Astyanax mexicanus: one gene and its partners. The protein of the gene in region 1 purifies or fractionates together with the protein of each later gene. This does not show direct contact. Links are inferred from orthologs where the notes say so. Each region holds a gene or a part of one and is shown in the gene's direction. Other genes may lie near its edges.

Region 1 (7,199 bases):
GCAGTGGGGCACCTGAGGAAGGATGGAGAGATTCTAAACACAATCCTAATGTTAGAGAAAACACTACAAAAAACAAAGACCAAATAAGCCAAAGATGTTGAAAAGTTGGTTCTTTACAACAATTTGTCTGTCATTGTAAATCAAAAATTTCCCTATGTGACACATACTGAACATCCTGAGAGCATCACAGGACAGTCTGTGAATCTGTGTACATTCATCTGACTTTACAAAAATAAATTTAGAGAATATGGAAGTGTTGGGTTTGGGCTGGAGAGAAAATTTAATTATTTTAAAAGTGTATTTTTGGCTTATACAGAGCTGCTTCAACCATTTTATCAATTTGCATGTTTTAATCAATCATTTAACAAGTTCTGACACAAGTTCTAAATCAAAATGTTAAAATACAAGGTATAAGATAGTTGTTTTATCATTTATAGTATATTATAATTTAACTTTAAAACAATCACAGTCATGTGGCCACAATAAGAGAAAAACATGAATGAGCTGCTCACTGAATTTATCTGAATATTTTTTTAATTTGGTATAAGAATTCAGAAATGTGTCTGGGCTCTTATAGTTTAAAATGAATTAGTTATTATATAGTATAAACTATTTAGTTTTTTTACATATTCAGCCGAACATCAAAAGCATTAATTTTTGGCCATTTGGGCCGAAATATTTGATATATTGCCAAATATTCTGTGACATTACATAATCAAGTCCTTCTTGATTCTGGTCATATTTGGGTTCTCTAAGTAACTGTGGTGCCTTCTCTGCACAGTCCCTCTCTCTGGTGTTGGAACGCTACGGGAAGTTGGAGTGCCCATAATTGACCAAGCTTCGTGCAACACCATGTACGCGATCCAGTCATCCAACTCAGAGAAAGTGGAAATTCTCTCAGATATGATCTGTGCTGGATACCAAGAAGGAGGCAAAGACTCATGCCAGGTAGGAGCTGCAGTGGAGCTTTGAACAATAAAGGTCTAGGCCATATTTTCTGTCAGTAAAAAAGGGGACAGCAGCTGGGTTCCTGGGTGTTGGCCCTGTCTTAAACCCTATCTGGGTGAGATTAGTTTCTCAGTGGGTCCTGGGGTAATTTTCTCTTTTATGGGGGTCCTCTGTAATTTTATTCCTGTTCTGAACGACCATGTATGTGTTTTTCTCAGACGTCCTCTTAGAAAATTACAGGCTGAATAACCTACTGTTTTTCACAAAGCTCCGTGGTCCTCCGGTAATTTTAGTCCCGTCCGGATTACATCTCTTGAGTTTCAATAGGAAAGTTACTGAACGCAATGTCATTAAACCGAGAAAGCCTAAAAACTCACTGGTCCTCCTGTTTTTTATTGCAGCGCGGATGCAAGTGTTTTATTACTGAGTAGTCCCCCTGAGAAACTAATCCTGTCCAGAAAGGGCTATAGAGAGATTGCAGGTTTAATCCCTGTTGACAAAACAGCCATCTGTGGTTTATACTGTGCCAATTGTGATCTATATTTTAGGTCAAAGAAAGGTTAAGGTCTTATAAATCATCATATAACGTTCATATTCCTTCTTCTGTCAGGGCGACTCTGGAGGACCCCTTGTTTGTCCCGTGGGCAATGGGACGTGGATTCAGGCAGGGATTGTGAGTTTCGGACTGGGATGCGCTCAACAGAACAGACCTGGAGTTTACGCCAAAGTGTCCAGTTTTGCTAAACTGATCCGCTCCACGGTGCCTGAAGCCCAGTTGTTGGGACAAGCGTGGATTTGTGGGGCTGAAAACCTTCTGGTGCTGAGTCTAAGTGTAGCATCAGTGCTACTGGGGACACACTGGACATGTTAACAGGAAGTGTGTAGTTTTGTGTCAAAAGACAGTAGGAAATGGAAGATCCCCCAAGACACAAAAAGATGTTTTAAATAAATAATTATTAACAATGGGTTAGTATTATATGTAATAAATGGACAATTTCTGGAAATTGGAAATACTGGATTGTGAAAAGTGATCACTTTTACCAGAGGAGAAACTATGCCTTTGAATGCTAATCCAGCCAATACTGAACTACAGTATGTAAATGTTCAACTACATCAGCTAAACACTGGTCTTTTCTTTCTGAGCCATTTCTCATGTGCTATGATAAAGGTGACTACAAGTTATTGCTAATCAATGCAAATGTTCCTAATTGATTTTAGTAACGGCTGTTTGGGCAGATTAGTTTCCAAATGGGACAGTAAAGATATGTTTTTATACTACACTACATTCTTCGATTTACAAAAAAAAGTTAAGCAAAGCTAATTTAATGATGCATGATTGTCTGATGGGTCAATGATAATTGATTTTAATATTGTATGTTTATAAAGCAGATGTTGATTGATTAATGTTTCATTTATTGCCATATACACTACATTTTAAATGTTTTGTTTAGTTTCTTTTCATACAAGGAATCAGTTACCATAACCAAAATACCTTAAATTGTATTTTTATAATTTTAATTTTTATCTTTGAAGTAAGTGAAATAACGATGTGACTGAACTTTACTGTTTCCTATACTATACTGTTACTATTCTGTTGAGCATTTGTTGTGGGCATTGCTATCCATAAGGTTCCAATAAGTTCAATGCTTTTAATTTTTTTTTAACTTCTTAAAAGTCTATACAATGTTGAATTAGGTTTTTAAGCTGTGCAGTGTTTATGAAGGACCTGTGTCCTGAAGCAGGATAATGTACATTTGATGAATGAATACATCTGATGAAGGAATCAAATACATTACATTCTTAAGTGTTGCCTGATTTTTTTGGTTATTTATTTGCAGCTTTTATCTCTGTAAAGGTACCTCATTAGCTCATTAGATTTAGCTAATTTGTATTTTTATATTTAGCATCTTTCATTAGATCCATAGCGTATCCTTTCATTATGTAACGTTTTCCAGGCTCTGAAAGGAACAGGAATTTACTGAAAAAATACTACACTACTTTGTCAGTGGAAAAAGAATGTGAACCTTTTAAGTTTTGTAGATAATTTCATGGTAAAATTTGAGTCTGGGGTTTTCAATAATAGGGATGACAATCAGGAGTGAGTGAGCATCCTCTTTTATTTATAGAACAAGTCTGACCTTCACAATAAATGTTTATGGAAGGTAAGTGTATCAAGCATTAATAAACAAGATTTCTGAGGGGGTTGCAAAACTATGAAGAAGTTTCATAGTATCTAAGAAGTTTGTACAGACAAAGATCTTTGAGAACACAAAGGCTTACCAAAGGTAACTTCTAAGCAACTAAGGGCCTTTTACACATTGGCTCACATTGGCTCTCTTACAATGTTAATGTTAATGGGTCCACCATCAGGAGAACATTAAACAACAATGGTGTGAATAGCTAGGTTGCAAAGAGTAAGTGTCAAGAGAATGTGGGTCATGCAGCAAGACAAGGAGCGACCCCAGTTGCTGATCTAAGCGACCCCCAAGAAATAAACTTAATAGGTAAAGTAATTATTTTGATCTAGTAGAAATATTGTGGCAGGACCTGAAGCAAGCAAACGTTGAGTTGCGGTTATTGGTGAACAAGAGGGTCACGCCAGATACACGAAGCAGTATTAAATTCTAATAAAAGTGTCTAAAAGTTTTTTTTTGTTTGTTTTGTTTTTACATGTATGGTACAATCTGTTAAATACAGATTTGGGAAAAAAGAGACCACTTAATTACCACCAAATTAAAAGCCTCTGGAATATAATAAAGAGGAAGATGGATGATCACAAGCCATCATACCAAGCTGAACTGCTTGAATTTATGCACCAGGAATGGCATAAAGTTATTCATAAACAGTGTGTAAGACTGGTGGAGGAGAACATGACAAGACGCATGAAAACTGTGATTTAAAAAACAGGGTTATTCCACCAAATATTGATTTCTGAATTCTTTAAACTTTATGAATATGAACTTGATTTCTTTGCAGTATTTGAGGTCTGAAAGCTCTGAATCTTTTTGTTATTTTAGACATTTCTCATTTTCTGCATATAGATATCATATTTTAAATGACAATATTTTAATTTGGATTTTGAGAGAAATGTTGTCCGTAGTTTATAGAATAAAACCACTTTGTTCATTTTAAACAAAAATACCTGTAATAGCTAAATCAGAGAAACTGATTCAGAAACTGAAGTGGTCTCTTAATTTTTTCCAGGTGCGCAGCGCCACCCTCAGGCCGACAGTGAGCAGCACAGGCCGGTGTCACTTCAGCCGGGCACACTGAGAGGAGCGGAGCTCTATTTTCTGTAATTTAAGCTGAACTACACAGTATTTATTTAGCTTTATCACCGAATATAAAAATAACAGCACAGTCAGGCGTTTTACACTTTATTAAAGTGTGAACCTGGTCATGGCGTCGAGCGGTAAGTCCCTGTCTGTCTGTGTTTCTGTTCAGTTTCGGGTTTTCCAGCCTTAAGCTGCGTTTCTCATTGATAACGGAGGTAGCGTTAGCTAAGCTAACTAACCTAGCCAGAAAATCTGCCTGCAGTCCCTCAGGTGTACTGACAATACACATGGCCTTTTGAGTCACTGCTCGTTAGTTTTAAGCGCATGAAAACAGCGTTTCTGTTATTAACAGGCTTTTATTCTCTAACACCCCCTACAAGAAGATGTCGGGCTCCGCCATTTTGTTATTCAAAGTGATATACTGACCTACTTTCAGACCTGGGGCTCAAAACCTTCGATATTTTAGTGTTATTACCTTTATAGATATTTCTGCGAGTGTTTGTGCAGATATTTATCAGTGTTTGTCTGTTAATTAAAGCATTTACTTATCCCTGCAGATTATCCCCAGACTGCCGGCCATGGAGGGTGAGTGTGTCCCTGTGTTTCTCGGGGTTTTTCAGTTGCTGGTGTTAAAGCTCCTCTATAATAAACAGCAGCAGCAGCTCAGGAGACCAAGACCCCCTTAAACATCACCTTAAAACCACCAGCAACACATTCTACATCAGGGCTGTCCAAACTGCGGCCCGCGGGCAATTTGCGGCCCTTTTCCTTTTTTGGAGCGACCCGCGAGGTATTTTAGTAATAGAATGAAAGCTGGCCCGCTGTTAAACAGGTTTTTATAATGTGAGATTCAACGTTTGAACGCTAGGTGTCAGAAACGGGCCAAAGAGTTTAAAAGCGGAGAGGGTGCGTATTTCTAGCGCAGAAAAACGGGGTAAAAGAGTCTAAAAGCGGAGAGGGTGCACATTCCTCGCGCAGAAAAACGGGCCAAAGAGTCTAAAAGCGGAGAGGGTGCGTATTTCTAGCGCAGAAAAACGGGGTAAAAGAGTCTAAAAGCGGAGAGGGTCGCATTCCTAGCGCAGAAAAACGGGCCAAAGAGTCTTAAAGCGGAGAGGGTGCGCATTTCTAGCGTAGAAAAACGGGGCCAAAGAGTCTAAAAGCGGAGAGGGTGCGCATTTCTAGCGCAGAAAAACAGGGTAAAAGGGTCTAAAAGCGGAGAGGGTTCGCATTTCTAGCGTAGAAAAACGGGGCCAAAGAGTCTAAAAGTTGCCGTAATTAAGGAGTTTAATATCAAGAGACATCATGAAATTAAACATCAATTTGAAAAATCTTAGTTTACACAACACTGTCAAAGATAAAGATAGTAAGGCAAGTAAAATGGTGTGTAAATGAAATAATCAGGAAAAATTATTTTTTAAAGTGGTATATTTCATTATTTGTTTAATTACGGACTGTGGCCCGAGAAAAACGGGCCAAAGAGTCTAAAAGCGGAGAGGGTCGCATTCCTAGCGCAGAAAAACGGGGTAAAAGAGTCTAAAAGCGGAGAGGGTGCGCATTCCTCGCGCAGAAAAACGGGCCAAAGAGTCTAAAAGCGGAGAGGGTCGCATTCCTCGCGCAGAAAAACGGGCCAAAGAGTCTAAAAGCGGAGAGGGTCGCATTCCTCGCGCAGAAAAACGGGGCAAAGAGTCTAAAAGCGGAGAGGGTGCGCATTTCGAGCGTAGAAAAACGGGGCCAAAGAGTCTAAAAGCGGAGAGGGTTCGCATTTCTAACGTAGAAAAACGGGGCAAAAGAGTCTAAAAGCGGAGAGGGTGCGCATTTCTAGCGTAGAAAAACGGGGCCAAAGAGTCTAAAAGCGGAGAGGGTTCGCATTTCTAACGTAGAAAAACGGGGCAAAAGAGTCTAAAAGCGGAGAGGGTGCGCATTTCTAGCGTAGAAAAACGGGGCCAAAGAGTCTAAAAGCGGAGAGGGTTCGCATTTCTAACAGAAAAACGGGGTAAAAGAGTCTAAAAGCGGAGAGGGTCGCATTCCTAGCGCAGAAAAACGGGCCAAAGAGTCTTAAAGCGGAGAGGGTGCGCATTTCTAGCGTAGAAAAACGGGGCCAAAGAGTCTAAAAGCGGAGAGGGTGCGCATTTCTAGCGTAGAAAAACGGGGCCAAAGAGTCTAAAAGTTGCCGTAATTAAGGAGTTTAATATCAAGAGACATCATGAAATTAAACATCAATTTGAAAAATCTTAGTTTACACAACACTGTCAAAGATAAAGATAGTAAGTCAAGTAAAATGGTGTGTAAATGAAATAATCAGGAAAAATTATTTTTTAAAGTGGTATATTTCATTATTTGTTTAATTACGGACTGTGGCCCGTGACTTCAAATATATTTCTCCTTCTGGCCCCCAACAAAAAAAGTTTGGACACCCCTGATTTAACGGCTCCTACCGCTGCTGCTGCTGGAGCCCATATAAGGAACCAAATAAAACTAAAAGAGACAAAAATATTATACCTGACAATTAATTTCTAGAAGAAATTCTATTCTGTCCTCTCAGAATGGACACATATCCAATCGTACATATTAGTCAGTGGCGAAAGAATGTAAACCTTATTAGCAGATAATTAAATGGTAAATTTTTATGTTTTAAATTTTTGAATTGAAGGAACAGTTTATAAGATTGAGAGAACACTTTCTTAAATTTGGAAGATCGGTTAATTAAATTGAAACAGTGTATTGTAAAACTGAGAGAATAATTAATTTAGAAAGACAGCAGTTTGTGGTCTTTGTATCATTAAAATATAATTACAGGAATACACAGTACCAATCAAAAGGTTGATCACACCTCATTTAAAATGTTTTTTTTAACATTGCATAATTAATATTATACGTAATATAATAAAGCTTTACAGACACATATATTTATTTTGTAAACAAACCAGAATATGTTTTAATTTTAGTTTTAGTTTACATTCTTCTAAGCTACACACA
Region 2 (7,150 bases), on another chromosome or scaffold:
AAGCCTTCCCAGAACTCAGAGTCTGTTACTGCTGCAAACGGGGCCAAACTCCTTTTTAATGCCCTTGATTTCAGAAAAAGAGGGAGTGAGCACATGTCTTCACACTATTGCACTAGTATTACAATACTATAACACAATGGTGCCTCCTTTCATGTTTTCCTCTCAGGGGAGCTGTTCAGAAAAGGGGGTTTGGGGGAGAAGCATCGTTTCATTCAAGGCAGAAATTTCCACAGAGGACATTATCGATTCTGGTTATCACATCACACCACTGTAATGCGGCGTCACCCGTAACAGCTTTGTTTGGGTTCTCTGGGGAAATGCTAAAATCCCCTGGAAATGACAAGATAGCAAAAAGGAATCATTGTTCATTTGTTCATTTTTCCATCTCTAATTCATTTAAACAAAGCTGATCTCACGTCTGTATTGATTTATTTTTGCGCACATCAGTTTTAAGCTGATACAGCATTGTTTCAACATTGTTTTAACATTATCGTTTTACTATATGTACTGTTTATAATAAACAGCATTTGCTTAAATCAAGTATGTTTGTATTATATAGTTCTTACAGCCTAAACTGTGCTCTTATATTGTAAAAAAAAGATGACATTTGAGGAGAGAACCTTTTGTCTAAAAGCATAATGGATTCAGAGAACCAACCATTGAAAGCCTTTAACTAAATAAACATTGGTTCAATGTCAGTTTTTTTTTTCAAGATGCCTGTGAGGTAATGTTCGATAAAGGTTGTTTTAAGGTTGTTTTTCCACCAAACGTGGAAAACATTAAAAAAATATAAAAACATGATGAAAGAAAACAATGTCTGTCTGATGTTATTTGCTGTCAGGCTTCAGCTCATGGCAATACTGTGAGTGTATAAAGTCTGGAACATTGTTAAGTGAACGTTGATTCAACGTCAGAATGTCAGCATTAACCGATGCCTGTGAGGCAATGACGAATAAAGGTTGTTTCAATGTAGTTTTTCTTCATTAAACTTTAAAATGATGTAATGATGATGTAATGTGACCAAAGAAAACAACGTTTGTTCAACGTTCTTTGCTGTCAGGGTTCAGCTCGTGGTTATACTGTGTGTGTAAACAGAAAGGAATCCATGACCAGTGTGAAATCCTGTGTCGCAGGGGACAAAACTCTCACACACACACACACACACACACACACACAATATAAAAACTATACACACACCTTCTCCCCGACATGTGGGTGTGATCGAATCTTCCTGATATCTTTTGTTGTGTGTTTATGTTTATGTGTTTTATGTGTGTGTGTTTGTGTGTGTGTGTGTATTTGTTATTATGTGTTTATGGATCTGTGTCGGTTGTTTAGCTGAACTCCGCTAACAGCTCTTCAGCCCCGCGGGTCTCCGGTACGCGGCCCGCCCCGCGGATTAAACACAACCCGCGGCTCACCTCACCGGATACAACCGGGAGCCACCTCGACCACCGGGGCCGGTCACCGCCGCTTTCTGCCGCCAACACCGATAACACGCAGATAATGTGTGGTTTTTGTTAGCTAATGCTAACCTAACTAACACACCTAACTCCGCGGACACCGAGCCGCAGCCGAACACCAGCGGCGTAGTTTCGCTATTTAACGGCCATAAAACCACAACAACCGCCCGCAGCCCTCCCCCACCGAGTCCCGCGGCTCCAACACCGAGCCCCGCGGCTCCCCCTCCACAGCCAGCCCAAACCCGCTCACCTGTCCGCCGCGCAGGGGCTGAGAGAGACGCGCTGGAGGGTCGGGCCGGGTCGGGCTGGGTTTTTCCGCGCGGAGAGACACTGAAGCTCGGCGGCGCTGCGCTCTCTGTCCCGCTCTCCTTCTCCTCCCACTACCGCTACTGCTGATCACCGACACACAACCGAGCGCGCGGTGAGACAGTGTGTGTGTGAGAGAGAGAGAGAGGGAGAGAGAGAGAGAGGGAGAGAGAGAGAGAGAGAGAGAGAGAGAGAGAGAGAGAGAGAGAGAGAGTGTGCGTGTGTGTAAGAGAAAGAAAGAGAGAGAAAGAATAAGAGAAAGAGAAGAGCTATAAAGAGAGAGAGAGAGATTAAGAAAAATGGAGATATATAAATAGAGAGATAAAGAGAGAGGGATATATAACGAGAGAGAGATAAAGAGAGAGAAATAGGGTAACATAAACAAAGAAAGATAAAGAGAGAGAGAAAAAAAGAAAGAGGGTGATATAAAAAGAGAGAGAAGGAAAGAAAGAGAAAAAGAGAAAGAGGGTGATATAAAGAGAGAGAAGGAAGGAAAGAGAAAACGAGAAAGAGGGTGATATAAAGAGAGAGAAGGAAATAAAGAGAAAAAGAGAAAGATAAAGTTGTTATTTTTTTAATTAATCATTTAGTCATGCCAATGAAGCTTCTTTGAATTGAATTGAATTAAAGAGAAATTAAGAGATATAAAGAGAGAGTGAGATAAGATAAATAAAGAGAATATTTTCACTAGTTTATCTATAGTTTATGGTCACAGCTCGATGTTAACCCAGATCCTGAAGCTGGAGTATTTCCAGTTGGTCTGTTCAGTTTATTTTATTAGTGTTTGAAATGTAAACTATTATAAGGCAGACAGGTTTTAACAGCTGAGCCTCCCCTTAAATCTGATCTGTTTTCCTATCTTTTCCTAATATCCTGCTCTTCCTCCTGGGATTTGTTGCAACATGTTGAAAAGTGCTTAACTGAGCGAAGTGCCTTCCTCCCTCTGTGATCTTTCTCACTCAGGAATTATGGGATTATTCTGCTTTCAGGTGGTTCTGTTTTTATCAGAAAAATGAGATTCACACCAGCAAGCTCTCAACATGAAAACTAGCAGTATTTAAATGCTTTTGAGATAACATTTAAAACTGACTTTGGTTCTGATTGGTTGTCCTGTATTGTGCCTACCTGTATAAAAAAGTTATTAAAAGTCCAAATAAAATTTTCTTTTATTAGTTTAGTGTGTTGGGCCAAACCACCATAGGTTGAGCATTTTCCCACACATTAGTGTTAGCTTGTGCTGAATGGCAAAACACTTAACTGAGAGAAGCACAAAAGTCATTATTTGAAAGTAATTACATCCCCCTCATCTGCTGACTTGCCGGACAGTAGGTACAGATCCCTCCCTCAGACGAAGTCTGCTGGCTAATACTGCGGTGTTCTGTCTGAGGTTCTCAACCAGCAGACCGAAATGGCATTTCTTTAACTGATCCAGTGGGCGGGGTTCTGGTGGGGGTTGATGGGTGAGGGGTGGAACCAGGGTGGTTTTATGCAGGTTTGGGAGGCTTTCAAACGGCTCATAAAAGGATATGAATTTTGCTCAAAAAAGATTGAACTAATTATTTTCCGCATATTATATCTTTAATCGTTCAATAGATTCAAAAGTTATACATGCAATTTTATGTATTTGTGGTATGTGTTCTAATTTAACTAAAGTGTCATCTCAAACCTTTCATACATGTGTTTATTTCCAGTCTCAGGCTGTTTGAAGGCCAAGCATGAAAAAATATAAAGTGGGAGTGGCTAAATGTAAAAACAAAAACAGATAGGATATGAGAAAGCTTTCCAACATTGTGTCATCATTGACAACAGTTTACCAGGTCTTGTACACACACAGTTTATCTCACTATCACGGGCAGCTAGAGGGCACCACATCACACTTCATCATGTTACTTCAGCTGTAAGAGAACCGTATCCAGCACTGCATCCAATTTACTCTACTATAAAGGGCAAAATTTAATGTATGCACAAAAATATAACGGATTGAAATCTAAAAAAAGGTTTTAAATTTTTCTTATTCAACGGTTCTGTAAAATACTTTGCTGCTTTCTTATAGTCCTTTCCTGCATTGAGGGTATTAATTAGTTGGTAAAAACCTATCTACAGATAAACACATATCACTGTATACTATACATAATATTTATAACAAATATGTGAGAAATATGGATTAGAATCTATCAGATAAAAAAGGCAGTGTAATGAAAAATAAAACAATGTGCAAGAGGTACAGATATCAGCAGACAATGAGAATGTTTATTACTGAATAAACATGGGCATATATAGGTATTTAGTACTTTTGTGTTGTGTTTTTGCGGCGCGGCGGAGGCGGAACGTTTCGGTCGGTTTACCGGCGGGAGTGAGTGAGCGGCGGACCGGGACCGGGGGTCGTGTCGTTACACGCGCGTCCGCTAGTTTAGCCGGTTTCAGTAGCAGCGCTGCGCTCAGTCCGGTAACAGCCCACAGTCCGCCGGTAAATCCCGGGATTCGGGCGATTTATTTAATCATGGAGACGATTTTAGAGCAGCAGCGCCGCTACCATGAGGAGCTGGAGCGACTGATGGACGCTAAAACTAAGGAGATGCTGCACAAGAAAACCACGGTAATTACAGCTAACCGGCTATCTGTGCTAACGGTGCTAATGCTAATCCTCTGTGTGTTTGAATGGAGAAGAGTAGCTACTTGCTAATTAGCTCCAGCTAACCTAGCCTTAGCATGCTAACAGAGCTCACTCAGGAGATGTCTGTGTAAAATAAAGTATATTTCAGTGTAAAATCTGATCAACTGAGGAAAATAAACAGCACTAGTTTGGATATTTAACTTTTATAGACATTTGAATTCTATATGTTTAACGTAATTGTCGTTAGTTTGTAGTTTTTTTGGTGCTAGCTAAGCGAAGCTAGCAAAATATCCATCTATCGTTAGTTAGCTTAGTGTAGCTTTATAAACACATCAGTTATTGTTCTGATTCAAGAATTTATTAAGATTTAGGATTCAAGATTTTTATTGTCAAGTCACAGAGAACATGTGTACAGGCAAAGAACAATATTTACAACAGAGTAGAATAATAAAACAAAAGTAAAATATACTGTAAACTTAAACTTGTTTATCTGTTTATTTATTCATCTCTTTCAGTTGCGTGACCAGATTAATTCCGACCATCGAATACGAGCAATGCTGGACGTAAGTTTCTTTTACTTCTGTATTATTAAAACCTATGCCTACATTTATTTATATCATTTATTTATATCTATATGCATGTCTGCTCTTGTTTTCTTTACACACAGAGACATATGGAAGTAAGCGGAAACCTGAGAGACTCCTACGATGATAAAGATGGGTAAGAACTGCTTGTTTTTCTCTGACTGCAGTTTATTTCACTGATACTAAACAGTGTTGTTCATCATAACTTGTAATTACGTCTTGTTAGTATGCGGAAGGAAGAGCTGAGCGCGATATCTGGACCAAATGAGTTTGCTGAATTCTATAACCGACTGAAACAGATCAAGGAATTTCACAGGAAACATCCTAATGAGGTACTGCAGTCTATCTTTTAAATTTAAATAAAATTACATGATTGCTGTACATTATCTTAGGGTGTGAATTACAGTTTAAAACCTTTTTACACATTTCTTTAATTTCACAGATTTGTGTGCCCATGTCGGTGGAGTTTGAGGAGCTGGTGAAGGCCAGAGATAACCCCAGTGAGGAAGCTCAAAGTAAGTAAATATTAACATTGCTTCTGTAAAACTTGCTGTGTTTATATTTATTACTCTAAATCACAGTAACTATTCTGACAGTACAAAGGATATAGTCAATATTTCTGCATTAGTAACTACATGAGTCATAAAGACACATTTAAAACACACAGAGAGTGTGTACTTTAAAGAATGAATAAAGAAAATGAATAAGAAGTCGCACTGTACCTCTGTAAACCATTAAGAAACATTATTATATATTTATGTATGTATGGGCGCATGTATCCTTTAACCAGCCCGAATCACGGCTTATGTTTTAACATCACTGTGTTTCTGTGTTGTGCAGATCTGGTGGAGTTCACTGATGAAGAAGGCTACGGACGCTATTTAGATCTTCATGACTGTTATTTGAAATACATCAACCTGAAAGGAGCTGAGGTATGATTTTCACTTTTTCTGTTTTTAACAGATATATATTATCTGTTTGTTTGCTAATGTGATGTTTTCCTCTGTTCCTGTTTTAGAAATTGGAGTATATCTCCTACTTGTCTTCGTTTGATCAGCTTTTTGACATCTCCAAAGATAGAAAGAATGCAGAGTACAAAAAGTAAGTCGAATTTCACATGGGAACATTGTGACCATATGTTGTGTCGTATATTACAGTGTTTATTTTATTTAATAGATTATAGATGGCTATTATTACATTGAACAATACTAATAAATGTTTATATGTGTATGTGTATTTATTTTATATACTGTATACAGTGGATGTCTTTAAATTTAAGACCATTTCTACCTGTAAGCAGTGGAGGTATCCTGTACTGAGCTTGTTTTGTGTTGGTCAGGTATCTGGAGATGCTGCTGGAGTACCTGCAGGATTACACAGACCGGGTGAAGCCTCTGCTGGATCAGAATGAGCTGTATGGAAAAGTTCTGGTTGAGTTTGAGAAGAAGTGGGAGAACGGAACCTTCCCGGGCTGGCCGGTGGGTTTATTTTTATAATGTGTTTGTTATAATAAAAAAAGTTTAATTCCACAGTAATTTAAGGTTAAAATTAAATTAACCCGAAACACAACAACATCTCATCATGAGTTTACAGCGTTACAGCAAATATTATCTGCTATTATTTGGGATTCTTATTTTTGGCGAAACAGACAGTTCAGAACCAGCAGGTCTCCTGTTCTGAGATCAGAGCGCTGATAAACAGCTGCAGATTGAATAATTACTACTGAATTAAACACAGATTTTTAGAGCAGACACGCCCACTCTAACCTCAACTGACCAATCAGCTTCTTTAAACAAAAAATATATATGTATATATATTTTTTTCTTTATCCATATCGCCCAGTCCTATACCAAATCATAAAAGAACATGTCAGATTTTGTCAAAGGAAAATGAGATAAAATGATTGAATGAGTTAGTGGAGTGAATAGATGCAGTACTGAGTAATGCTATGCTATGAAGCCGGAAGCCCAGTGAACCAGTTTGTGTAAATGTAAAGGAATAAGATTATATAGTTAGTTGTTTATTTGCGTCTCTGTGTGAAACAGAAAGAAGCGAGCAGCGCTCTGACCCACGCTGGAGCTCATCTGGACCTCTCTGCTTTCTCCTCCTGGGAGGTAAGACTTTCCATCAGGAACGCACACAGCTTTAATAGCTTTAATAGTTCATTGCCCCCTGAGGACTTT
Region 3 (7,337 bases), on another chromosome or scaffold:
CCCCATTACGCACACATACACACAAGCACACACACACACACACATCCACACACAAAGCACAGCATATTTTTGCACAGACCTGCACAGTATGAGTCAGACAGAGGTGCTGATGTCATGACGGATGCTGTTGTCATGGCAGCGGTGCGGCGGTCGGACACATGCTGTAGTCTGATGACAGTAGGGGAGACGTGTGTATGCCGTCCCTCAGGGACACATATACACACACACACACACACACACACACACACGCACGCACACACGCACATACATACAAAAGTGATCATTCTTACCCTCTCCCAGGGACACCTATTCAGTTTGAACCAGAGATATTTTTACCATCTGAACTTTTGAAAATATAAAATTTATCTTTTATTGGAGCTATGTCAAGATCAAGGTTTTAATGAACAAATGAATAATTAAAAGATGGTAAATGCTGAGTTTATGAAAAGTATATAAAGTTATGTACAGTGTTTCTTCTATATACTTTGAATCAGCAGCCAACTGCTGCAAAATCACTGCCCCTGCTGCTTTAGAATTTTATAAAATGTAATTCAGTTTTTTCTTTCAAGATTTCTTCCTTTTTTCTTGTCACTGAGGTGGGCTGCATTTGTTTCATTTAATATTATTCAAAATTAGGGGTGGGAATCACAGGATAACAGGGCATCTCATGATACAATATTATCACAATCCATGCTGTCCATGGTAAAAATGGTATCAAACTACTTTGACTCTGTGATACTTAATATATCACAACACAATTCTCTATGGTTCTTCACAGCATCTGTGTTACTGAAGAAGATAAAATACTCCTAAATAAGCAAATAGCAGGAATTATCAATTTATTGGTGAAGGTTTCACAGAATTGGACAACTAATGTGGAGTAATGAAACAGTAAGTCAAATTGGGGGAGAGTTTAGAGTGAATATGTTTTAACAAATATATATAGATATTTGATTTCACATACCAATATAATCCAGTCTAACCAATACTGCAATATATTGCAGTATCCATATATTGTCCAACCCATACTTAACAGCAAGTATAAGAGGCACTTTAGTGTACTGTGAATACTGTGATGACTTTTTATACAGTCAGGCCTAGGGGAAAAAGCTAAAGTAGAAAATAACTGATGTTTTTTTCTTTCATGGACATTATGAAATCAAATTTGATTTTTTTTGATGGCTATTATCTGAAGCATTACTTTGTATTTCTAATATGAATTTATACAATGGGAACATAAAATGGAAGAATTGTCCATACAGGATAAACATATTCCGATCCAGGGATACATTTTACAGGCCCTAATGAGCAGATTACTTATACAGACACAGACACAGTACGATCCACTTCTAACTCATAGTTTAATGCTAAAAACATTTTAAACGTTTTCTCACTGTGTATTCATTTGTTGGTCTATTGGAGTTACTTTGTTTTCATAACTAGTGGTACAATTACATTATATACATTTTCTTTTGTAGACTCCTGTAGACTTTTTTTTGTTTAAATGTGCAGAACTCCATACTAAAATCTGTTCATGGGTAAACACTGGATTTAATTAATAGTGACAGACACTATTGAGAGGAAATATTTCATACCTGTCAAGTCTCCCGTTTTGGCCGGGAAACTACCGTATTTTACTCCTCTTTCCCGCCGTCCTCCCGTATTAGTATTTTCCCGTAAATTTCCCGTATTATATTAAGATTAAAAAATATATATTATTAAGGAGACAGGGAGCTGACTGCTCTGTGTCTCTTAACCAATCGTGGAGCCGGTTCAAGGAGAAAGTCCCGCCTTTCAGGAGAAACAGCCAATCAGTTTGCAAAGGAGAGTCAGTGTGGTGAAGCCCTCAGTCGCTGTGAGTTCAGGCAGCTAGTCGGAGCTGCTGATGTTAAAACATATCTGGATTTTCAGCGATTTTTCTTTAAGAAAGGTCTAATCATGTAAACTGTGAGGAGATTTTTCTGATAGCTGCTTAAAAATACTCGTCTCTGAAATAAAACACACAGATTAAACCTTTTAAAATAAAATAAAAATTACAGCTGACTCAGCTTAACTAAAATGTGGAGAGGACCGAAATGAACTGATCAGGGGTGGAGTGATCAAAAAGAAGAAGTATTAATTAAAAAGTATTAATTGTGTAGGCCACTTAGGACTAATTTTACTGATGGAATATATGTGGTCCATGTCCTTTTAGTAAAAGCTCATAATACTATTTTTAGGTCACCTACAGTCATTTTGCAGAATTTGTGCACCCTTTGTTCAATTTTAAATCTATTAAATAAATAAAAAATATATCATATAAAAGAGTGCATTTATGGCAAAAAAGACATGAAATCTTAACTTTTTTTAATATCTAGAAAAGGATTTTAATTTGGCTGTATTAAAAAAATCACATGTAGAAATGTCCACAACATTTCAGATTCTGATAATCTAATTTTAGTGTGTAAGTGGTTCACTTGTGGTTATTTTAGATTTTTTTGTAAACCTGTCTTAAAATGTAAGGGATACTGAACCTTCGTTGGGCTGGAGGGACGGCTTTAGGCGGACAGAGGAACATATCCCTTATTTTTAAATCTAAAACTTGACGGGTATGATATTTATCTAATATTTTATACCAGTTGAGGTCTTTTTTAGATGAACACTGACCAATAATGTGCTGTTTGCTGCCATCTGCTGTTTATCCTGCATAATCTTACACTTTCAGAGCACCTCACAATTCTAAAGGTTTGGGCACCCCGTGCCAGATTAATTCCATGTTGACCCGATGTGACAGTAGGTTTTAATTCTGAGCAACAAGCAGCAGCCCCGATTCCTCTAATTTAATGAGTCTTCCAACATCTGTTTGACTGAAATGTAAACCTGCAACCACAGAACCACCGTTCTGTCGAATTGTCCTACTTTGTCGAACCGTGCTGCCCTAATGTATATTTAAGTGTAAAAATACAAAAAAGCACTATTTTAGGGCCCAGTGAAATTCCAGTATATGTACGTTATTAGATTTGGATAGCATAAATCATTGTATCATGGCAAAGGTATGGCAAATAAAGCTCATTACAAACTGCTTTTGTATTTATTTATAATAATTGTAATTATTAGTTTTCATTTACACTTTTGTGCAATGACAGTGCGTCCCTCTAAAACAGATTAATTATAAATAAAAAACACGAGATATAATTAAATTGTGTATGTCAGCGCATGCGCAGTACCTTTGGGAAGCATGTATCGATGGGTAGAACAACCTGCTCACTGTGGACAGGTCTGACACCCCTGCTTTACAGAGAACACACCTCTACTGAACATGCACTTTCTCACCTCAGACTTGAAGGGGTTGATTCTCATTTTGTTCTGTTCACACTCAGCTGCAAACCACTTAAGTGCACACTGGATGTGCCTACATGTACAGGCCGACATGTCAACATAACCTGCAAACAGCAGAGAAACAAAAGCCCTTACTGCCTCCACAAGAAGACTAAGACTAAGATCTAAATCTTATCAACCCCTCCTAAACCCTCACACCTCCAACCTCCAGCCCCCACTTTCTCTTTCAGGTGGACCTGCATGACTCAAAACTGACAGTAAAGCATTAAACAGAGCTTTATAATACCATTCACATACATTAAATCCACAGATGTCACAGCTAGCAGAGAACGTTGTAAGAACATTTAGCAACGTTTTGAAAAGGTAAAATTTCTGCAATGTTACAGAAATATTGGTCCAGGAATGTTCTGAAAACATACAACATAATGGTTTGCACTGCAACGTTAATTAAACGTAACTTTCCCAGCTAGTTGAACACTAACATTATGGAAATGTTTAAAGTGACATTCCCAAAATTGAAAATGAAAACATTGACACAAGTGACATTGCAGGGATATTAACACAACATTAAAAAACGTTTAATAAAGACTGGGACAAATCTAATCTGATGTCAGTCATTTTTTATAATTTAATTCAATATAAGAAACAATTAAAGTGTTTTAATTGTGAAATAAAATAGAAAAGTGCATGCAATTAAAAACGTATAAAAAGCACACACGCAATTTAACAACCATGTATTCATTTTGTACCAGTGAAAGCTATCGTGCTAAAATTGTTTATGGGTCATTGGCGTGTTAATATTAATTGGAATTATTTATTTGTGTTTATTTTATTCTTTGTAGCTGTTATTATTTTTTATTAATTTATTCGTCCATTCGAAATAAATAATATTTGGTAGTAAGAGGTATTTTATTTAGGTGTTTTTTCCCGCAGAGAAGGGGGTGCGGTAGGTTAAGCATGCAGGGACTTTTATTTTGGGGTACTTCTGCTCTTTGTCCGTTTCCCCTGCTGCTCTTTCAGCTTTAGCTCAGCTCAGCTCGTCTCAGCAGCAGCGGCGGCTCCGGGTGCCGGTGACCCATTTTCATCTTTTCTCTGTTTTATAAAGCTGCCAACACGTCTTACGCAATGAGGTGAGATATCTATCTGCGCTGTTTTGTGACATTCGTGTTTTTTGGGGTGAAATGCGCAGTAATATCGTTATTTATTGAGAATGATTTATCGGCGTTTTGAGGGCCTTTAGCCTACAGGCTAGCATGAGCTTAAACTAGCCTAGCTCGCTAGTTTAATATCTGGCGTGGTGATTAGCCTGAAGTCAGGGGAATTGCTCGGTGTTACTGTATGATGTCTTGTTAAAGGAGTTGTTTATTCGTTGGTGTTTTAAGGCTGGGTAAATGCAGCTATTTGTGTGTTTAATCGTCGTCGCGTCGCTGTGTGTGAATGAATGAATGAAACCCCAGTTTAGCCGAGTGTAGCTAACAGTTAGCTGGTATTAAATTGATGATGGGTAGCTAATATTGACCTAGGTTAGCTGTGTATTTAAAATAACCAGTCTGTGTTCTTGGAAAACACATGAATTTGTTTCATTTCAGTGTGCTTAGATTTGTAATTGGTCCATTTTTTTAATGGTTTTCTGTGTACTAGTTCAGCCTGGCTTAAAGATAGCTAGCTAGTCCTGGACAGGCTGCTTAATTAACCCTCTATGGCATGATGTTGCTCTCAGGCAACAAAACATATTTTATTACACCATAGCCTTTATTTATATAGCTTATTTATTATGTATTTGTTATTTTTAATGTAATGTTAAATGGCATGTCTGCGTTCTAAATCATGAGGCGTGCAAGTGGATCATAAATAAAAATAATGTTACTTAGATGTGCAAGAATTATGTAAAGAAGCATATTTGGCTATTTATATTCTAATAAGTGCTGGACGTTATGACCAAAAATCGATGTCACATTTGTTTCAAGATTCTGACGGCTTTACTGTATTTTTTATTGTATTTTATTTTATTTGCATGACTGGGCTTTTATATAGGTTTATGACTTAATGAATGTTTATGAATACAAACATTAAGGCTGTACTATTGGGTGTATTTTGTTCCCCAAAATTACACAACCTATGACTTCATTAGTAGAAAAACAGATGAATGTAAACAATAGACCTTAGAAAAAGATGTGCCTACAACTTCCTTTACAAAACTAAATAAATAGTTAAAACTAAACAGTAAACAGACCTAAAATACTAAATATTTAGTATTCAAGAGCTATTTCTAAAAAACCTCAATAACATCAAGCAATACACAATTTTAATATTTTAGTTTACAATGTTATTATTGAAGCCATTAGAGGAACTACAGTATTAAAGCCTCATTTTCCTTCTTTCTGTAGTGTGAATAAATTCAGTGTGCAGTAATATTATCCATATGAACCGGTATGCTGCCCAGCACTAATTCATTTTATGTTCTTTTGCTTTTAGCTTAATAAAACAAGTTATTTTTCAACATTATATAGACCTCTTTTGGCATCGGCATCATGATAAAGCCGTGGGGATTCAAATAATCAGCAAAAGTTCTCAAAGAAAAAAATCTCCCATATAGTGGTGTGATTTTTTTTTTTTTCTCCCCAAAAATATAACTCATACTATAGATTGTTAATGCTATGCCTTGAACAGTAGCATCAGCTGTGGGTTTGTGTGCACTAACCTAGATTATGTTACTGGACTAATCTAGCCAGTTATCTAACATGCTTCTTTCTTCTTTCAACAGAGGCGATCGTGGAAGGGGCCGTGGTGGTCGCTTCGGCTCCCGTGGAGGTCTAGTTCAGGGGTAAGATAATGTGATCAAAACCGTTAGATTTGCTTTGTGTTAATTTTGGTTTCCAAGCTGGGTCTTGAATTAATGGATCTCACAATGTGTACAGGCTCTGGGGCTAACACAGTTTGAGAACCATTGGTTAAAAACATAAGCCTAGACCCACTTCTAAGTATTGATATCAAATTTAAAATTACATCTGATAAATTGAGTGCGCAGCTCATTCTCATTCTTTTTTACTTTGTTCAGACAACTGTAAGTATTTTACAGCTAAAATCCTCATGTAACTCAAATGACAACAATTTCATTACCTCTATTCTAATGTTTTGTCTTAGAAACAGTGTCATCAGAACTAGTTATCTAAAACCTTTAAGTGAAGCATTTTAATTGTTAAAATTGTTGGATTAGACCTGAAGCACAAATTCCTGCATTCTGTAAGTAAGGTCAGATGCATTAACAAACTGACATGTGATCCTGTGTTAGGGGTGTATGTTACTTAGGGGTTGTATGAGTTAAAATGACAGACAATGCTCATAAGGGGTGTGTGACATGTCAATATTGGTTCTTTTGGGTTAACTCAGAAGATTTGATATTAAGCACAGTGATTTCTTTACTCAAACTTATTTAAACAGGGTAATGAACTGCAAAATTGAATTAGGTCTGTTTATGCAGACAACTCCAAAGGAACCCCTCCCTGATTTGGTGGTCTGTCGTGGCTGATATTTTTTCAGTTTTTATTTGATGTTTACATGTATTCCATCAACAAAGACAAGGTGCTTTAAGCATTGCTTCAGTTCTGCTATGTCATTATTTACATTTTTGTTTGGCTTTCAGGTACCGCCCTTTTGTCCCACACATACCGTTTGACTTTTATGTTGTAAGTAATTTTTTACTTTATGCTTTTAAGGCGCTTAACATGTAGATACTGTAGTGACAGTTGTACTCATAAACCAAATTTTGCTTTTCCAGTGTGAGATGGCTTTTCCACGAGTGAAGCCGGCACCTGATGAGACTGCATTTAGTGAGGCTCTTCTGAAGCGCAACCAAGATCTCACTCCAACACCATCTGAGCAGGTAACCAAGTTTTAACACTACAACCCAGCAATGAAATTGTGTGGATAAAATCAGGGGATAAAATCGGTCACAATCAAAATCTGTCTGTGTACGAGTATATTGTGGAATTCTGAGGTTTAGAGAAACGATAGTAGCT
Region 4 (7,509 bases), on another chromosome or scaffold:
GAACTCCTTTAATATGCACAATATTTCAATATTCCAATCTCTGGTCTACTATAATTTACTACAAGCATTGTAACATAACTGCACTGACACACTGGCAATTAAATATATATATGTAATATATTTAAGGCTGCAAAGTATACATCTACGTTGCTTTCACAAATCTGCAAGATAAAAGCACCTTAGCAGGCAGCATTTTTATACAACATTCAATTAATAAACGACTAGGGGCCTGATTAGCCAACATTTAATCCATCTCAGACAGCAGAAGCAATGGCCCCAGTTGAAATCTGATTGAAATCTGATTTTGTCACTTATTAAAGTGACAAAAAAAGCAAAAACAAAATAAGCAAAAACAAAATAAGCAGAAGCAAACAAGACAAGCAGTAAATACAGAAAAAAACACAAAATACACATAAAAGAAGCAAAGACGTATAAATTATATGATTAATATGTTTTTTGTTTTGAAGTTGCCAACTACACTTTTTAGGGTTCAAGCACCGAAGGTGCGTAGAACCCTATTGTTATTGCTAAGATTTTTAGGGTTCAAGCACCGAAGGTGCGTAGAACCCTATTGTTTTTGCTAAGATTTTTCTTATTATTATTATTATTATTATTATTATTATTATTATTCTTTTTCTCCTGTAAAAACAGTTGTGCAGCCTAAACCGTAAGTCATAGAGAAATGAAACTTGGTAGGTAGATGTAGGATCAGTGCATCTCGGTGGACAACAAAAATGGCACCGATTGGTCAAGTGGTGGCGCTATAAACAAGGAAATTCATTTTTCACAATTTTCTCAATAACTCAAAAACCATAAGACCTACATTCAAAATTCTTTTTTTGCTGGATTCCTTGGGTCAATACCAACAACTTTCCAATTTGGACCATGCACTTCCGTCTATATAGATTTTGTGCTAATTTGCATAATATGCAAAACCTACTTTTGCAAACTAGTCCTAGGATTTTTGACCAATCCTGGCATGTTTGGTATCAAAACACTCGTGAGAGCATGCGCTTCAATATTCATTAAGAAAAAGTTGAAATATGTAAACAATATGGCCGCCATATGCAAATTAGTCCTTCCGGATATATGCCCCATTCACTTCAAGAGGTAAATTTGGAGCACTGTTTCTCAGCAACCGTGCAACCTAGCAAGTTGAAACTTTGCATGCAGAATCTAACATACAGCCTCTAAAGGATGTTCAAAGGGCAACTTAATCAATCAACATGGCTGAACACCATCAGCCAATCAGCATTCAGCAGACATTTTGGCAGGCTGAACGTTGCCCAATCTGGATGATATTTGGCAGTTATGTTCAGGTGGAGACACTGTAGTGACCTGCAAAGTGCTGAAACAATCCGCCCACTGGGGGGCGCTGTTCCAAAAAAACGAGTATATGTCAATCATGCTGTACTATTTTGACATCTAATTGTTTTTGCCATATTTAGTACAGTGGGTCTGACAAATTTCTCAATACAACTATGTTTAAAAAGTGCTTTGTTCATTCATAATTGCTAATTGTTTGAAAATAGCTATATTGAAACTACTCTCTGGATATTTGGCCTATCACCTCCATTTCAGTCTTGCTGCACACTGTAGAGTCTCTAGGTAAATGTTCATTAAAAACATTTGTGAAAATTTCACATACAATACTCTCCAGGCATCAAGCAATCTGTGCGTCCTTGGAATTTCTAACCTAAATTGCTGTAACTCTGCAGTATTTGCTGTAATCTCACAATGTTAAAGACCTCTGTACAATATCACTTTGATGAAGCACCATTTAATACAGAACTAGATTAAGAATAACTTGACATTACATGTCATATCAGAACATTCACTCCTTTGTGCCTCTTCTCAACATTAATAACAGGTGAAAGACTTTTGATCATTTTAAATGTGACAGAATGTCTCCAATTGTGTTAGACCTTCTTACACATCACCATCCTATGCTCTAGTAGGCACCATTGTGCTAGTTGGTGCTTGATGAAGCGCCATTTAATTCAGAACTAGATTTATAATAACTTCGTAATTACATGTCATATCAGAACATTCACTCCTTTGTGTTAATTTAAACTTGTTTGGTCAAACATTTCAGCTTGTTCTGCAAAGGTTCAAAGGTCAATCTGAATACCACTTTGTGAACATTCTGGTTGAAGCCACCTGATCAATACCAATAACATGTAGACACCTTTTGACTAGTTCTAACTCACTTAATGAATATCCTACAAAGTTCACTAGATTTACATGTGAATTTAAGCACTGATCAGGTTGAAAGGCCTCTGCTCAACATTAATAACAGGTGAAAAACTTGATAATTTCTAAATGTGACAGGGCATCTCCAATCATATTAGACCTTCTTACACATCACCATTCAATGCTCCAGTAGGCACCATTGTGCAAGTTGGTGCTTGAACCCGATGATTGCCGCTTGCGGCTATATTTCTTCTTATTATTATTATTCTTTTTCTCCTGTAAAAACAGTTGTGCAGCCTAAACCGTAAGTCATAGAGAAATGAAACTTGGTAGGTAGATGTAGGATCAGTGCATCTCGGTGGACAACAAAAATGGCACCGATTGGTCAAGTGGTGGCGCTATAAACAAGGAAATTCATTTTTCACAATTTTCTCAATAACTCAAAAACCATAAGACCTACATTCAAAATTCTTTGTTTGATGGATTCCTTGGGTCAATACCTACAACTTTCCAATTTGGACCATGCACTTCCGTCTATATAGATTTTTTGCTAATTTGCATAATATGCAAAACATACTTTTGCGAACTAGTCCTAGGAATTTTGATCAATCCTGGCATGTTTGGTATCAAAACACTCGTGAGAGCATGGCCTTCAATATTCATTAAGAAAAAGTTGAAATTTGTAAACAATATGGCCACCATATGCAAATTAGTCCTTCCGGATATATGCCCCATTCACTTCAATTGTTAAATTTGGAACACTGTTTCTCAGCAACCGTGCAACCTAGCAAGCTGAAACTTTGCATGCAGAATCTGTCATACAGCCTCTAAAGGATGTTCAAAGGGCAACTTAATCAATCAACATGGCTGAACACCATCAGCCAATCAGCATTCAGCAGACATTTTGGCAGGCTGAATGTTGCCCAATCTGGATGACACTTGGCAGTTATGTTCAGGTGGAGACGCTGTAGTGACCTGCAAATTGCTGAAACAATCCGACCACTGGGGGGCGCTGTTCCAACAAATCGAATACATGTCAATCATACTATACTATTTTGACATCTAAATGTTTGTGCCATATTTAGTACAGTGGCTCTGACAAATTTGTCAATACAACTATGTTTAAAAAGTGCTTTGTTTATTCAGAACTGCTAATTGTTTGAAAATAGCAATATTGATACTAGTCTCTGGATATTTGGCCTATCACCGCCATTTCAGACTTGTTGCACACTGTAGAGTCTCTAGGTTAAGATTCAATAAAAACATTTGTGAAAATTTCACATACAATAGTGTCCAGGCATCAAGCAGTCTGAGCGTCCTTGAAATTTTCAACCTAAATTGCTGTAACTCTGCAGTATTTGCTGTAATCTCACAATGTCAAAGACCTCTGTACAATATCACTCTGATGAAGCGCCATTTAATACAGAACTAGATTTAGAATATATTTGTAATTACATGTCATATCAGAACATGCACTCCTTTGTGCCTCTTCTCAACATTAATAACAGGTGAAAGACTTGATAATTTCTCAATGTGACAGAGTGTCTCCAATTGTGTTACACCTTCTTACACATCACCATCCTATGCTCTAGTAGGCACCATTGTGCCAGTTGCTGTTTGATGAAGCGCCATTTAATTCAGAACTAGATTTAGAATAACTTTGTAATTACATGTCATGTCAGACAATGAACTCATTTGTGTTAATGTAAACTTGTTTGGTAAAACATTTCAGCTTGTTTTGCAAAGGTCAAAAGGTCAATCTGAACACCACTTTGTAAACATTCTGGTTGAAACCACCTGATCAATACCAATAACATGTAGACACATTTTGACTAGATCTAACTCACTTGATGAATATCCTACAAACTTCACTAGATTGACATTACAATTACAATTTACAATTTAAGCACTGATCACGTTGAAAGGCTTCTGCTCAACATTAATAACAGGTGAAAATTTTTTAATAATCTCTAAATGTGACAGGGCATCTCCAATCATATTAGCCCTTTTTACACATCACCATTCAGTTCTCTAGTATGCACCATTGTGCCAGTTGGTGCTTGAACCCGATGATTGCCGCTTGCGGCTATATTTTATACTTATTTCCCCCACTGTATATAACTACCAGGAGGTATATGTATATACGTTTTTTAATGTATTTAATGTCTCAATTTTGTTTAAGGTGTATACAAAAAGTACCTCTGTACATTAACTGCCCAAATAAGTTAAATTAATTTAAAATAAAAGCTTCTGTAAGTGATTCTGCCTCTGAGCGTGTTTATGTCTACGCCCATTGTGGGTACTGCGCATGCGCCGCTGAGCATAGTCTGAGTAGTGAGGCCTTCCGGGCGCTTTCACACAGACGCAACGATGGCGAAGATCGCCAAAACACATGAAGGTAAGCGCGTATATTACATATATTCAGTACAGGCGGTGTGAACAGGCTACATATACGTTTTCTTAACGGTTTGCTGGCTGGTTCTCGTGGCATGACTGGAGAAATTAGCTGCTGCTGCTGCTGCGAAGTGAACCATCGTAGTGCGAACGAGGCGCAGAAGAGAACATGGCGACTGAGCGCTTTATTAACTAAAGCCGCCAATGAACCGCAGATACAGGCGGTTTAAATCATTGTAGACTCGCTCTGTATCTTTTTATACATGCGGAAAAATGTGTAAAAGAATACCTTAGCATTATTTGAGGGAAATTATAGTCGGACAGCCTGTGGTGATTAAAAACAGAACCCTCACGCAGGATCCAGCGCTGCTGTGCGCGGCCTGTTAGTGGCCCTGCTCAAAATGGCGCTCTGTGAGCTAACCCAGCTAAAGCTAACTGCTCCCATTACACAAAATACAGCGTGATTCCCTTCGTTTTAGCGGTTTAATACTGATTTAGTGTAAGCTTTATATTTTGTGTGGCTCAAAATAGCGTTAGCAGAAGGCTCACTTAATTAGTAACAAGAAAATTAGCGAGTTAGATAGTTTAGTACGTAGCCCGTTGGTGCAGATTAGTTAGCTAAGCTAACTACTTTTGACTAGCTAAGATGCTAACAAAACATGGGCAGCATGTCTGAAGTCATTCAGCGGTTTGACTACATTATTAGTGGTTTCTTTGGGTTATATATATATTTTCTTTTTATATTATGGCTATATTGGTTGGTATCAAACATGTTAGTAACGTTACCTAAATAGCTAACGTCGAATAATTTGTAGCTTAATGGCATTGCAATAAGAACACGATTTCCTAAGTATTAACGTAATCCTCTCAGACCCTGCATCCGTTAAGCTACAATAAACACCATGTAACTTAATTTTCTTTATTTTTCAAAATGTTTTGTTGCACATAACACTATTCAAGAGCTCTTGTCCTTCAGAATAGTTCATGAACCAGCTATTGAATACGTTTATAAACACATGAAACCTTTGGCCCCGCCTACTGCACTGGAAAAACAAGTTCTAGAGCCATTGAGGCTATATAACAGCTAATTCTTACAATTTTAACGTGATCTAGAACACTGTTTCGCGATGGTTTATACAATAAAAATGTCCATATAAAATATAAAAGTCTTCAACCGGCAGAGTCTGCTAATACTGCTTCATTTTGTCTGCTTGTCACAAAAACGTGTGTGCGGAAAATAATATTTTTATTATATTAACCAGGTGGGTGATTGACATACGCCACAGGTTTTGAGTTTTACATTGCTAAAAATGTTTTTTATTGGTTTATTAGTTATATTAGTATTATATCGTATTGACCAAAATTAACATATATTCATTTCATACATAAAATAGGTTGGTATAAATTTTGACTGTATTCTGTACCCCTAGTAAATAACAGGCTGGTTGTTAGAGGTGTCACTTGATTAAAAGAAATATTGAATAAATCACTACAGTCTTTTGTGATTTAATCATGGTTGATCATGTGGTGAAGTGACAAAAAAAGCAAAAACAAAATAAGCAGAAGCAAACAAGACAAGCAGCAAATACAGAAAAAAAACACAAAATACACATAAAAGAAGCAAAGACGTATAAATTATATGATTAATATGTTTTTTGTTTTGAAGTTTGAAGTTGGTTATTAGAGGTGTCACTTGATTAAAAGAAATATTGAATAAATCACTACAGTCTTTTGTGATTTAATCATGGTTGATCATGTAGTGTTCTTAAGATTAAGCTTTTAATAGTGTATATGTAAATGTAAATAAGAGAATGAATACAATATTAGCAAAACTAAGTTACATTTATTTTAGTTGTCAATTGCTTAAAAAGATTGTGTTGCTGTAATATTCTGTGATCAGACATAATTAATAAAGTTCAAATCATGGACTGTTTTGAAAACTATCTGATTAGTTTTAATGCTTTAATGCTGTGTATGTGCACTCTTGGTGTCCAGATTAATTGCATGCCCTACTGTGTATACCTGTGTACATTTCTGGTGTGTGGGTCTGAACAGATGTCATGTTTTCAACATACGGTATTTCCCTGTTTTCTATTTTCAGACATTGAGGCGCAGATCCTGGAAATCCAGGGGATGAAGGCAGCTCTGCTGGAGGAAGGAGAGCAGGGTGTCGGCCTTGATTCCACTGGATATTACGACCAGGAGATTTACGGAGGCAGCGACAGCCGCTTTGCCGGATATGTCACCTCTATTGCAGCAAACGAGCAGGAGGAAGTAAGTTGTACAAATAGTTAATTTGATATGCTTATAAGATGAGTCATGGAGAAGCAACACATACATTTTCTAAATCATATGTGCTTAAAATATGACAAAACCTTTACAGACTGTATCTTACCAACATTTTTATTTTTTCTTAAGGATGATGAAGAGGACTCTTCCACGAGTTTACTTGGGCAGAAGAAGCCGGGGTACAATGCTCCAGTGGCAATACTCAATGCCATTCCTCAGTCAGATGAGCAGGTAATTTAATGCAACTCTTTGTTACACTTCCTATTTATAGATGTTTTAAAATATGCAACATTAGGTGAGTTTAATTATCTTTAACTTGTTTTTTCTCTCCTTTTTTTGCAGTATGATCCTTTTGCTGAGCACAGACCGCAGAAGATTTCGGACCGTGAAGATGAGTACAAGAAACGCAGACAAAAGATGATCATCTCTCCTGAGCGCCATGACCCCTTTGCAGACGGTAAATGTCACACAGCTGTTCCCTTTCATACTCCCATCCATGTCCATGCTGAGGAGTATGCAGTGTCTATACATAATCCTGCTCTATATCACTGTGTTGGTGGTTAACCCTTCAAGCACTTGACGACAACTTGCTTCCCAGATTTAGACTAAGCATTGATTATTGATTTTGCTGTG

Evidence for each region.
Region 2: the proteins of fus (region 1) and sf3a3 purify together in Homo sapiens (affinity purification with mass spectrometry; 3 studies listed by BioGRID and IntAct, with this or other methods). This does not show direct contact. The link is inferred for Astyanax mexicanus from reciprocal best matches to the Homo sapiens genes FUS and SF3A3.
Region 3: the proteins of fus (region 1) and ilf2 purify together in Homo sapiens (affinity purification with mass spectrometry; 3 studies listed by BioGRID and IntAct, with this or other methods). This does not show direct contact. The link is inferred for Astyanax mexicanus from reciprocal best matches to the Homo sapiens genes FUS and ILF2.
Region 4: the proteins of fus (region 1) and sf3b1 purify together in Homo sapiens (affinity purification with mass spectrometry; 3 studies listed by BioGRID and IntAct, with this or other methods). This does not show direct contact. The link is inferred for Astyanax mexicanus from reciprocal best matches to the Homo sapiens genes FUS and SF3B1.

Annotation. Positions count from the first base shown.
Region 1 is NC_064426.1:19,752,898-19,760,096, reverse strand, and holds the start of fus (RNA-binding protein FUS), read left to right. Parts: upstream 1-4,183; 5' UTR 4,184-4,347; coding exon 4,348-4,360; intron 4,361-4,780; coding exon 4,781-4,808; intron 4,809-7,199. Other genes in the region: si:dkey-16l2.17 (serine protease 33), read left to right, coding at 782-948, 1,559-1,819. UniProt on the Homo sapiens protein: DNA/RNA-binding protein that plays a role in various cellular processes such as transcription regulation, RNA splicing, RNA transport, DNA repair and damage response. Binds to ssRNA containing the consensus sequence 5'-AGGUAA-3'.
Region 2 is NC_064410.1:279,040-286,189, reverse strand, and holds the start of sf3a3 (splicing factor 3A subunit 3), read left to right. Parts: upstream 1-4,141; 5' UTR 4,142-4,269; coding exon 4,270-4,365; intron 4,366-4,898; coding exon 4,899-4,946; intron 4,947-5,050; coding exon 5,051-5,103; intron 5,104-5,193; coding exon 5,194-5,299; intron 5,300-5,409; coding exon 5,410-5,482; intron 5,483-5,807; coding exon 5,808-5,899; intron 5,900-5,985; coding exon 5,986-6,068; intron 6,069-6,306; coding exon 6,307-6,445; intron 6,446-7,012; coding exon 7,013-7,081; intron 7,082-7,150. UniProt on the Homo sapiens protein: Component of the 17S U2 SnRNP complex of the spliceosome, a large ribonucleoprotein complex that removes introns from transcribed pre-mRNAs.
Region 3 is NC_064410.1:45,266,976-45,274,312, forward strand, and holds the start of ilf2 (interleukin enhancer-binding factor 2 homolog), read left to right. Parts: upstream 1-4,328; 5' UTR 4,329-4,443; coding exon 4,444-4,448; intron 4,449-6,082; coding exon 6,083-6,142; intron 6,143-6,961; coding exon 6,962-7,004; intron 7,005-7,096; coding exon 7,097-7,201; intron 7,202-7,337. UniProt on the Homo sapiens protein: Chromatin-interacting protein that forms a stable heterodimer with interleukin enhancer-binding factor 3/ILF3 and plays a role in several biological processes including transcription, innate immunity or cell growth.
Region 4 is NC_064418.1:3,449,524-3,457,032, forward strand, and holds the start of sf3b1 (splicing factor 3B subunit 1), read left to right. Parts: upstream 1-4,486; 5' UTR 4,487-4,563; coding exon 4,564-4,591; intron 4,592-6,688; coding exon 6,689-6,861; intron 6,862-7,005; coding exon 7,006-7,107; intron 7,108-7,218; coding exon 7,219-7,333; intron 7,334-7,482; exon of another isoform or gene 7,483-7,509. UniProt on the Homo sapiens protein: Component of the 17S U2 SnRNP complex of the spliceosome, a large ribonucleoprotein complex that removes introns from transcribed pre-mRNAs.